Linked DNA regions of Drosophila melanogaster. Changing the gene in region 1 together with any one later gene gives a genetic interaction. Each region holds a gene or a part of one and is shown on either strand. Other genes may lie near its edges.

The links. Genes that interact genetically often act in the same process or in processes that back each other up.
Region 2: of ttm50 (region 1) and PPP1R15, changing one suppresses a phenotype caused by changing the other (phenotypic suppression), as found in Drosophila melanogaster (one study listed by BioGRID).

The regions. Positions count from the first base shown.
Region 1 is NC_004354.4:2,729,552-2,734,190, forward strand, and holds ttm50 (tiny tim 50), read right to left. Parts: upstream 2,640-4,639; 5' UTR 2,498-2,639; coding exon 2,239-2,497; intron 2,167-2,238; coding exon 1,983-2,166; intron 1,927-1,982; coding exon 1,398-1,926; intron 1,339-1,397; coding exon 1,215-1,338; intron 1,156-1,214; coding exon 965-1,155; 3' UTR 526-964; downstream 1-525. Other genes in the region: dwg (deformed wings), read left to right, coding at 1-402; CG2712 (uncharacterized protein), read left to right, coding at 3,014-3,619, 3,680-3,934, 4,005-4,639. UniProt on the Drosophila melanogaster protein: Essential component of the TIM23 complex, a complex that mediates the translocation of transit peptide-containing proteins across the mitochondrial inner membrane.
Region 2 is NT_033778.4:23,975,050-23,979,021, forward strand, and holds PPP1R15 (protein phosphatase 1 regulatory subunit 15), read right to left. Parts: upstream 2,207-3,972; 5' UTR 1,843-2,206; coding exon 1,099-1,842; intron 1,039-1,098; coding exon 829-1,038; 3' UTR 550-828; downstream 1-549. Other genes in the region: mr (morula), read left to right, coding at 1-34, 91-291.

The sequences.
Region 1 (4,639 bases):
TACAAGAAGCACATGATGGTCCACAGTGGCGTCAAGGCGCACAAGTGTGATGTTTGCGGGCATGCCTTCACCTTTACCAGCAACCTCAATGCCCATGTTCGCCTCCATTCCGGCGAAAAGCCGTTTAAGTGCGAGGTCTGCGTTAAGGCCTTTCCCACAAAGAAGCGACTGGCCAGTCATATGCGCGTCCACAACAAGGAGTCGCCGGTGACGGCCACCGTTGCTGTTCAGTCCATCAATCCTCCCAGCCGACAAGCGGGCGCAGAAGGTGCGACAGGCGGAGGTGCGACAGGTGGAAGTCCGACCGGTGGAGGTGCGACCGGTGGATCGGCAACCAACCTTCACATAACCGAAGTTCATGAGCAGCCGGTGTCCACCTCCAAAGTGGTGATGGTGCTGTGAGCGGCCACCAAGCCGTGGGAGCGGCTCTAGAATGTAAGCCTAGGCTAAGGATTAGACACTTAGTTCAATAAAACTGATTTTTGTTCCAGAAAAAACTGAAAGAAAATTCGACACTTATTTTTTACATACATAAAAATAATTTTGTTTTCACGATAACTATCTCAGCAGGTTTAGCCACTCTTATCCATCAATTGTGATTAGATAACGCACAGCAAGTTCTCCACTTTCGTAACGAAACACATGGATGTCTTGTTTTTGGTTTTACGGTTAAGTCGTCTCTTTATAATAATAATATTACGATTAAATTGCCAAAAAACAAAAACAAGCAAGTTTAGTTATTCAATAAAACAAAAACATGCGCCTCGTCTTTTCCCAAAGGAGCAAAAGACAGAGCGTGCCTCCCAATCCTGCTGTCTGCTGTCTGCTACTGCTTCCCACTAACTACTCCAAAAGTCGACGAAAAATATGGCCAGTGTGCTGCTGCAGGGCGTGTTTGTTGCTCCGGCGCAGGCGGAAGGTTAAGGTATGCGTATGGAACGGGTTGTGCGGTATGGCCAGCCTCCTAGCGGCCGAGAATGTTGCGCGACCACTGTTTGACCATTGGCTTGGTCTTGGACTGCTCGATGCGTTCCGCCTCCAGCATTTGTTCGGCCAGCTTGCGCTGGTTCTCCCGGAACTGGTTGATGGGATCGTCGAACTGGCGATAGTAGTGGAGCACCTCGCGCACGTCGTCCACGTTGTTCTGCGCAATTACTGTAGCGAATTGCAAGGGTCAGTGTTTAGCTTTCAATGTCACTTGTGGCGCAACTTACTCTTTAGGAAAGCGATAAGGTCCAGCAGTTGGCCATCATCGTCGTTGCCATGCCAGCGGGCCAAGCCGAATGTGTTGTCCGGATGCATCTTGGTGGCATTCGCATCCCAGTCCACAACAATCACCTAAAATACTCCCTTCTTTATAGATGATTGCAATAGAAAATACGTTGTGCATGACTTGCCTTCTTGAGGTCGCGATTAAGGTTGTCCAGGTTCTTCACATGATGGCCGTCCACAAAGTGCGTGGCATCCCTGACCAGGCGGTACATAATGTAGCCGTTGGGATCGAGGGCATCCAGGATGGGGAACACGGTCATGCCCTGTTCGGCGGTGAAGACGACAATTTCAAAGTCCTTGGCGCACTCGGCCAGAAAGTGGTCGACGCCGGGACGCTTCTTGAAGCGCCAGCCAGTTTGGTAAGTCCAGTCCGGATGCACCAGCACGTCCTTCATCTCCAGCACAAGCGTGTAGCGCGGCTGCACGTACGGCGGCTTGAGCGGATCGGGCAGCAGTTTGGCGCGCGACGGCTCCTGGATCATGCGCTGATAGTAGTGAATGCTCTTCCACATCCGCTGCAGATACTGCTGTACCAGCGGCTTGTGTGTGAACTCGTCCTCGATGGGCTGCCCGTTGGGGTCCACCTCGGGCTTGCCGAACTCGTAGACGGCCCAGAATCCAGCAGCCACGGCGCTGCCTCCGAATATTGCAAAGCTGCAGCAGGAAGTATTGTTATAATACTGTTACGCATTGAATGGGCGTCAGCTTACCCCAGCTTCATGCGCTTCCAGGCACGCTCGTTCTCCTTTTCCTCCTCCTCCTCGCGCTTCTTGCGCTCCTGCTCGGCGTTGCTGTCCACCTCCGGCGAGGTCTGAGGAAAGAGCTTGGCCAGCAGCGGGGCATTCGGTGCGACCTCGGGCGCATCATTGGGGCCAGTGGCTCCAGCTTCCTGCTCTGCGAAACGAAAGTGGCCAAGGATGAATGTTTAGGACTCTACTGTTTAGGACTCTACCGTGAATCACTTACTGGTTGTGCTGCTGTAGCCACGCGCTGTGTGCAGGATCGAGAAGAGCGCCGGAGCAGCCGCTGGCAGTGCTGTGCAAGTGAATAGTCGGAGGTACTGCTGCTGGTGGTGGAGGAGGTGGTGCTGGTGCTGGTAGTGTTGGTGGTAGTGGTGGTAGTGATTACCCAATGCGCGGTGCTGGTGGATGTGGGTAAGAAGACGCGGCGTGCTAAGGCCGCGCAGCAACTGGAGGACGGTGGCCGGTGCCATGCTCATGCTCATGCTTCCCCCTTCCTTCCCGATATCGAGTCCTAGAGCCGTTCACGAGTCCTGCTCGGATGGCAGCGACTTTTTACTTATAAAAAATTCCAACAAAAATTTCAACTTCCCACCGGCACGGCGTTGGCGTTAGGGATTTTATATACTGTCCACTGCCAGGCGGCACCAGGCGTTAGTACATTTAGCACGTGGCTCTCAGCAGGTATAGATCGGCGATTTTCAAGCCAAATCTGGCGGGATTTTGCAGATAACTGCGTGTGTACATATGTTGCCTCCGGCAATCTGACTAATCACAGTATTAAGAAAATTTTAAATTAAAATATTTTAAATAATATGGAAATACACAACCTTTGACCAACCACCAAGCCACTGTGCCTCTGGTCACTTCCAAGCTGATGTGCCTGGCTAGCTATTTTGAGTGCCACCACTAACGCATCAGCTGGACTTTGGCATCACTGTTCGGGACGCTAAATTAAGTTATTTATTTAAACGTGTATTATCTACTGTCGAGTTCAATCCATGACGACCATGTCGCCGCCGTCCCCCATGGACGCCTTGTGCCGCGTGTGCCACACAGCATCGCCGCGCTGCCTGCCGCTCTTCAAACCGCTCGACGATCCAATTTCCGGCAAACCAGCGACGCTGGCCAGCATTTTAAGCTACTGCAGCGGTCTGGAGATCCTAGAGGCGGAGCTCTTCCTGCCCCACCACATCTGCCCGGACTGCGTGGCCAAGTTGCGGCTCTCGCTGGAATTCAAGCGGAGTGTCCATCGCATGGACAGAATTCTGCGGCAGAGTCATGCGGACTTTTGCCGCAGCAAAAAGATCAGCGCGGTGAATACTAGGGCCAGGCTGTCAACCGAGATTCCGGAGGATTTTGTACTCGTGCTCGATGACCAGGAAGTGACTGAATATCCAGCAGAAACGATACGAGATGAGGAGCAACTCCTGGTCGTAGAATCAGATGAGGCGGAGAGCCGGCTGGAAGCGCCAATTGTACAGGAGGAGAGGCTGGATATTGCACTGGAACAGCACGAAGACGATCTCTGCGAGATTGTCGACGATCCGGATCCGGAGCAACGTAGGAGCAGGTTAGAAAGATCCGAGCCAGCGCTGCAATGTCCCGTGAGTTGCCTTTCCGAATTAGAAGTAAGTAATCACGAAATAGTTTCCCATCTTCGGCAGATTTGCGGCAAACAACTGGCTAGGAAGCGGACCTTTCAGTACCACATGAGGCTACATGGCCAGCCAAAAATTCGCCAAGAAGACAACGACCACTGCATTGAAGAGTGCCTCCAAGTGGAGCCCGTTTTGCAGGCCAAAGCTGGCGAAGATGTCTACGAGATTGTGGAGAAATCAGCACAGACTTCGGCGACGCAGAAAACTTTGCCCAGTGGAAGCCGGCCTTGGAAACCCCTCAATCCCTCCCTACAGTGTAAAGTAAGTTGGTCATCGCAGCTCGCAAATAACTCAAAGCCGAAGGTCATCAATTCTCCCTCCATTCCTTTAGATCTGTGGCAAGCAACTAAGCACCAACAACTCCTTCAAGTACCATATGCAGCTACATGGCACGGCCACGCCCTACGTTTGCACAATCTGCGGAGAGTCCTTTAAGACGCGAAACGCCCGCGACGGCCATGTCACGCTGCACGATCGTAACAATCCGAACAGGTGCCCCACCTGCTTCAAGGTCTACCGGCAGGCGTCCTCGCTGCGCACACACCTTCTAATCCACAGCGGAATCAAGCCATTCGAGTGCAGCATCTGCGGCAAGAGGCTAACACAGAAGTCGGGCTACAAGAAGCACATGCTCACCCACACGGGCGAGAAGCCGCACGGCTGCGACATTTGCGGCCGTCGCTTCCGCTACTCGAGCAATCTGATTGCCCACAAGCGCTGCCACAGCCAGGAGAAGCCCCACCCGTGCCCGGTGTGCCAGAAGCGCAGCTTCGGCAGCACATCCGAGCTCAACCGCCACATGCTCGTCCACAGCAGCGAGCGACCGTTCGGCTGTGAGCAGTGCGGCAAGTCCTTCAAGCGCCGCATCTCACTCGCCATCCATCGCCAGTCGCACAAGGCGGGCAGACAGCGGAGGCGGGCCGAGCATGAAGTGGGTGTCCAACTGGAGGAGCAGGACGAGAATGT
Region 2 (3,972 bases), on another chromosome or scaffold:
TTCTGCCAGCGATCAAAGGGAAGAAGAACTCCAAGTAAGTGCCTTCAACTGTTCCTAATTCCGGCTTTTTCTTATACAATTATGCCGCAGGTTTTTTGGTCCTATATTGTTGGAATGCTCACGAATCTTGACTCCATGCCAATTGACCGAATCCACCAGATGCTGAAGCTGTTCGCCTCCCACAGCGGCGGAGTGGAGTTTACTCAGGATGAGCTGAAACACTTTCTCCAGCGAAAAGTCAGGGAGCACAAGCTAATATTCTCGGGTGGAGTTTACCAATTGGCCAAATAAGTTTCGGAGATCCAAAACCAAGTTGCAAACGACTGAAGGAATCATGAAATAAATAATGAATTAACGCGATAACATTTATGAAATTTACTGCTCCATGTTAAACGTACCTATTTTTTCAAACTGCCGTCTTATCTGTTTCTATTCAGAGCTTATCTCTCACCCACGTACACACAAAGTCTTTACCCAAACTTGTTTGGCTTGGGAATTTGGAACACAATGCAAGCAATCTTATGTGAAAAGAAGAACACACAGTAAAATACGTCTATTGCTTAATTTATTTCAAGTTATATTAAGGTATATGCTAATCCCGTTATCAACAAATTCAAACTTCTTAGGGCTCTAAAACTAAAGGCGAAGAAAAGTGTACGTGGTTTTGATATACTTTACAGGTTAAACAGTTTTTGGCTTCATAAAATCAATCACGAACGCAGTGGCTAAATCGATCACTTTATACACGCAAACAACTTGGAATTTAATGCTGTAATCGTTCTAAACTGTAATCTGTACATCAAAAGTTACTTCAGGTATGCGGACCAGCTAGTCCTCGTGCAAGAATCGAGCTTGGTAGACACGATCTCGGTGAACTGGAGTCAGGACGGCATTGAGAATGGGTGAAATCCGCCGAATCCGCTGCTGAAAGCGATCCCGATCTCGCGCCATTACCTGCCATTCGCTCTTTCTGGCAGCCCGATAAGCGTAGTCCCAGGCGAGCATTACGTGAACTTCGGGTTTCATGTTGAAACGAACCTGTGCGCATAAATAGGAAATTAGATATGCCCACTTATGCCGCGCAAAAATATTCTTCACCTTCTTGACAGGAGTCGAGCTGTCGTCGCTGCACTGGCAGGCCTTTAGCTCCTCGGTATTTTCATCCTCACCGCATGCTGTAAACTGCACGCTGCTGTCGTCGTCATCATCATCCTCGTCTTCCTCGACATCCTCATCCGCCTGCTCTGCGTCGTCCTCAAAGCAAATGAAGCTGTCCTCACTGCACTCGGAAATACTACGCTGCCGCTGCCAGGAGCTCTTGGCAGCCGATCCTTGCGAACAGCCAGCGTTGTTATTCCGGTCACTGGAGGCTTGACTAGTAGGGCAATCCTCCGCGGTATCCTTAAAGCCGTGGTGCGGATGCAGGTCAATAAAGAAGTAGCACGAGGACGGTACGCAACGCCGCAAGGCGTCCAACTCGATTCCCGCCATCTTGGCGCCCGGCGGACTCTGGGCGTTGACGCACTTGTGCAGGGCGGTCTGCATTTGAGTTACTACGTCCATAGCCATTAGCTTGAAAGACATCATGGTGGCCAGCGGATTCAGGGGGTCTGGCTGCAGGGTTGGGATCCGCAAATCCTCGGGGACTTCGAGCGGTTTGACCTCGGGTGCCTCCTGATGCACCTTGTTTGGCTTCCACAGTGTACGTGATCCAGCGGAGAGGGGACGTGACGGCCCGAACCGATATTGCTCGTAGATAGGGGAACTCATGTTTGCAATCAGGCGGAGAACAAAGAGGAAGGGGTCAAACAGTGCGCCCATAAGGGTGTGAAATTTCGACATCTGAACTTAAAGACACAAGTATGCGTTTGGTGTGGTGGGAATCCCTTGCGAATGGCCATTTTCTTGAACTTGGCTTTGGGGGGCATGGTGGCCAGCTTAATTTGAAACACACTTATCCATGGTTACTGCGATTAACTAATGTAATATGGAGTGAAATAACGCACATATATGGTGAAATGTTACGTATGTCGTGCATCCGATCCTTTGCACTTTACTGTTTTTCAGTTGTAGGCTAGTTCTGCTTTCGTTTGTAGCGTATATAGCGAGATATAGAGTCCAGGCACAATAATATTCAGAGTTTTACACGTTTTATACCAGAATAGTTCCATACTTTTTCACTAGAGCTGAAAATTTATCGATAACAGACGTTGAATCACCTTGGGTATTGTTGTTTTTGTGACCATTCACTTAAGCACCCCACAAAATCGTCCCATTCAAAACGGGCAACTGCAAACTATCGATAGGCAATTTCAATTTCAAGTTTCAAATTGTTGAAACTTTTAAAAGGGCTTTCCAGATTTATTAAAATAAGAGGTTATTTAAATATTTTTCTATTTACAGATTGAAAATGAGTTTATTGTTGATAATCTGATTTTTCTCCGTGAGTGAACATTTTTAGGTATTATTGCGATTTAATAGCAATATTAAGTAACCGTGATAAATGTATACTTTTATTTAAGCTGGATGTAACACCGATATACAAATTTATGGATCATAAGCTCCTAGGAAGTCACTTTAAAAATTGATCATATGATTGATGAGTCATCGTTCATGATTCTGGTTTATGAAGACGAAGACAGATCTAGTTATAGTACTCCAATTGTTAGAATTATGTATGTTGGGAGATTTGCTTATTTTAAAAGAAATAAATTAAGAATAAAATGTAAATAAATATATCGCAGCCTTAAAACTTAGGATGAAATATTGCGGTCGCAGCGATCAACTCGATTACTTCCGTGTGTCCGAGTACAATTAAATCATGCATACTCGTATGTACACTGCATGTACATGGTTCTTTACCCGATATTTATACCTGACACTGTATGAAAATGCAAGTGCATGTTCCGCTGCGTCATTCTGTAGATAAATACTATGTGTACATATGTACATCGAATTTGTATCTGTTAATATATATAGTTATCTCTATATTTTCGCATAATATTCGAGTGTTCTACGTTAACTGCATGCCATTTATGCATATTATTCGAGATCTCGTATATGGCAGCATAGTGCCTGCATGCATATGTTTTCTGAGGATGTATGTACTGGCATACATATAATATCTGATATTTACGTATAATATTCAGATTTTCCGCTCTCAAGACCGTTCGGAATCGTCTGAAATAAACAGAAGCCAGATTCATATTCATGCGCACATATGTATATTGCACGCTTATACGTAATGTGTATTTATTCTCGTATATATACATGCATACAACACACAAGCAAACGTACAGATTAATCAAACAGCCATATGATTAATACACAGTGGAACAGCTGATTCATAAGCGTACATGTACACACCCCTCCCCGCACACAGCACACCAACACTGTTGCGCTACTGCAACAGTTGATATCAAACCAAGGGGCGCAGTGCGGGTGGCGCCAGCCAGAAGGGCGCTGTGAAGAATTGATGACTTAAAGGGGCACCGAATCAAATAAAGAATTCTATGCTGATTGAAATAACTCTTTTATGGAAAATAAGGAAGGCGTAAGGCACTTTTATGCCAATGCAACTGAACTAACCGCAAGTCCGCTCCTGACTCGTCGAGTCAGGAAACTCTCGCAAAAACCTGCGCTCTTTCGGTCTCTGGCACGCACACAGCGACAGCTCGTGTATGTGACGCTGGTATGGGTGCATGTATCTGTATCTACGTGCTGTGGACTCAACTCAAATCAACTTGCAGTCAGTTCACTTGAACAGCTGTGAGCGATCGACGTTGGTCGGGAAGCAATCACAATCGAAACCACACTCACACACACCAAATACACACACCCACACGGATACAGCAGAGCCATATATATGTATGTATGTGCAAGGCATATATGCATAATTACATACAGCGCAGTACATGGGGCTGCATAAGAAACAAGTACAACAAAATCACAAATACACAAATGTACAACAAA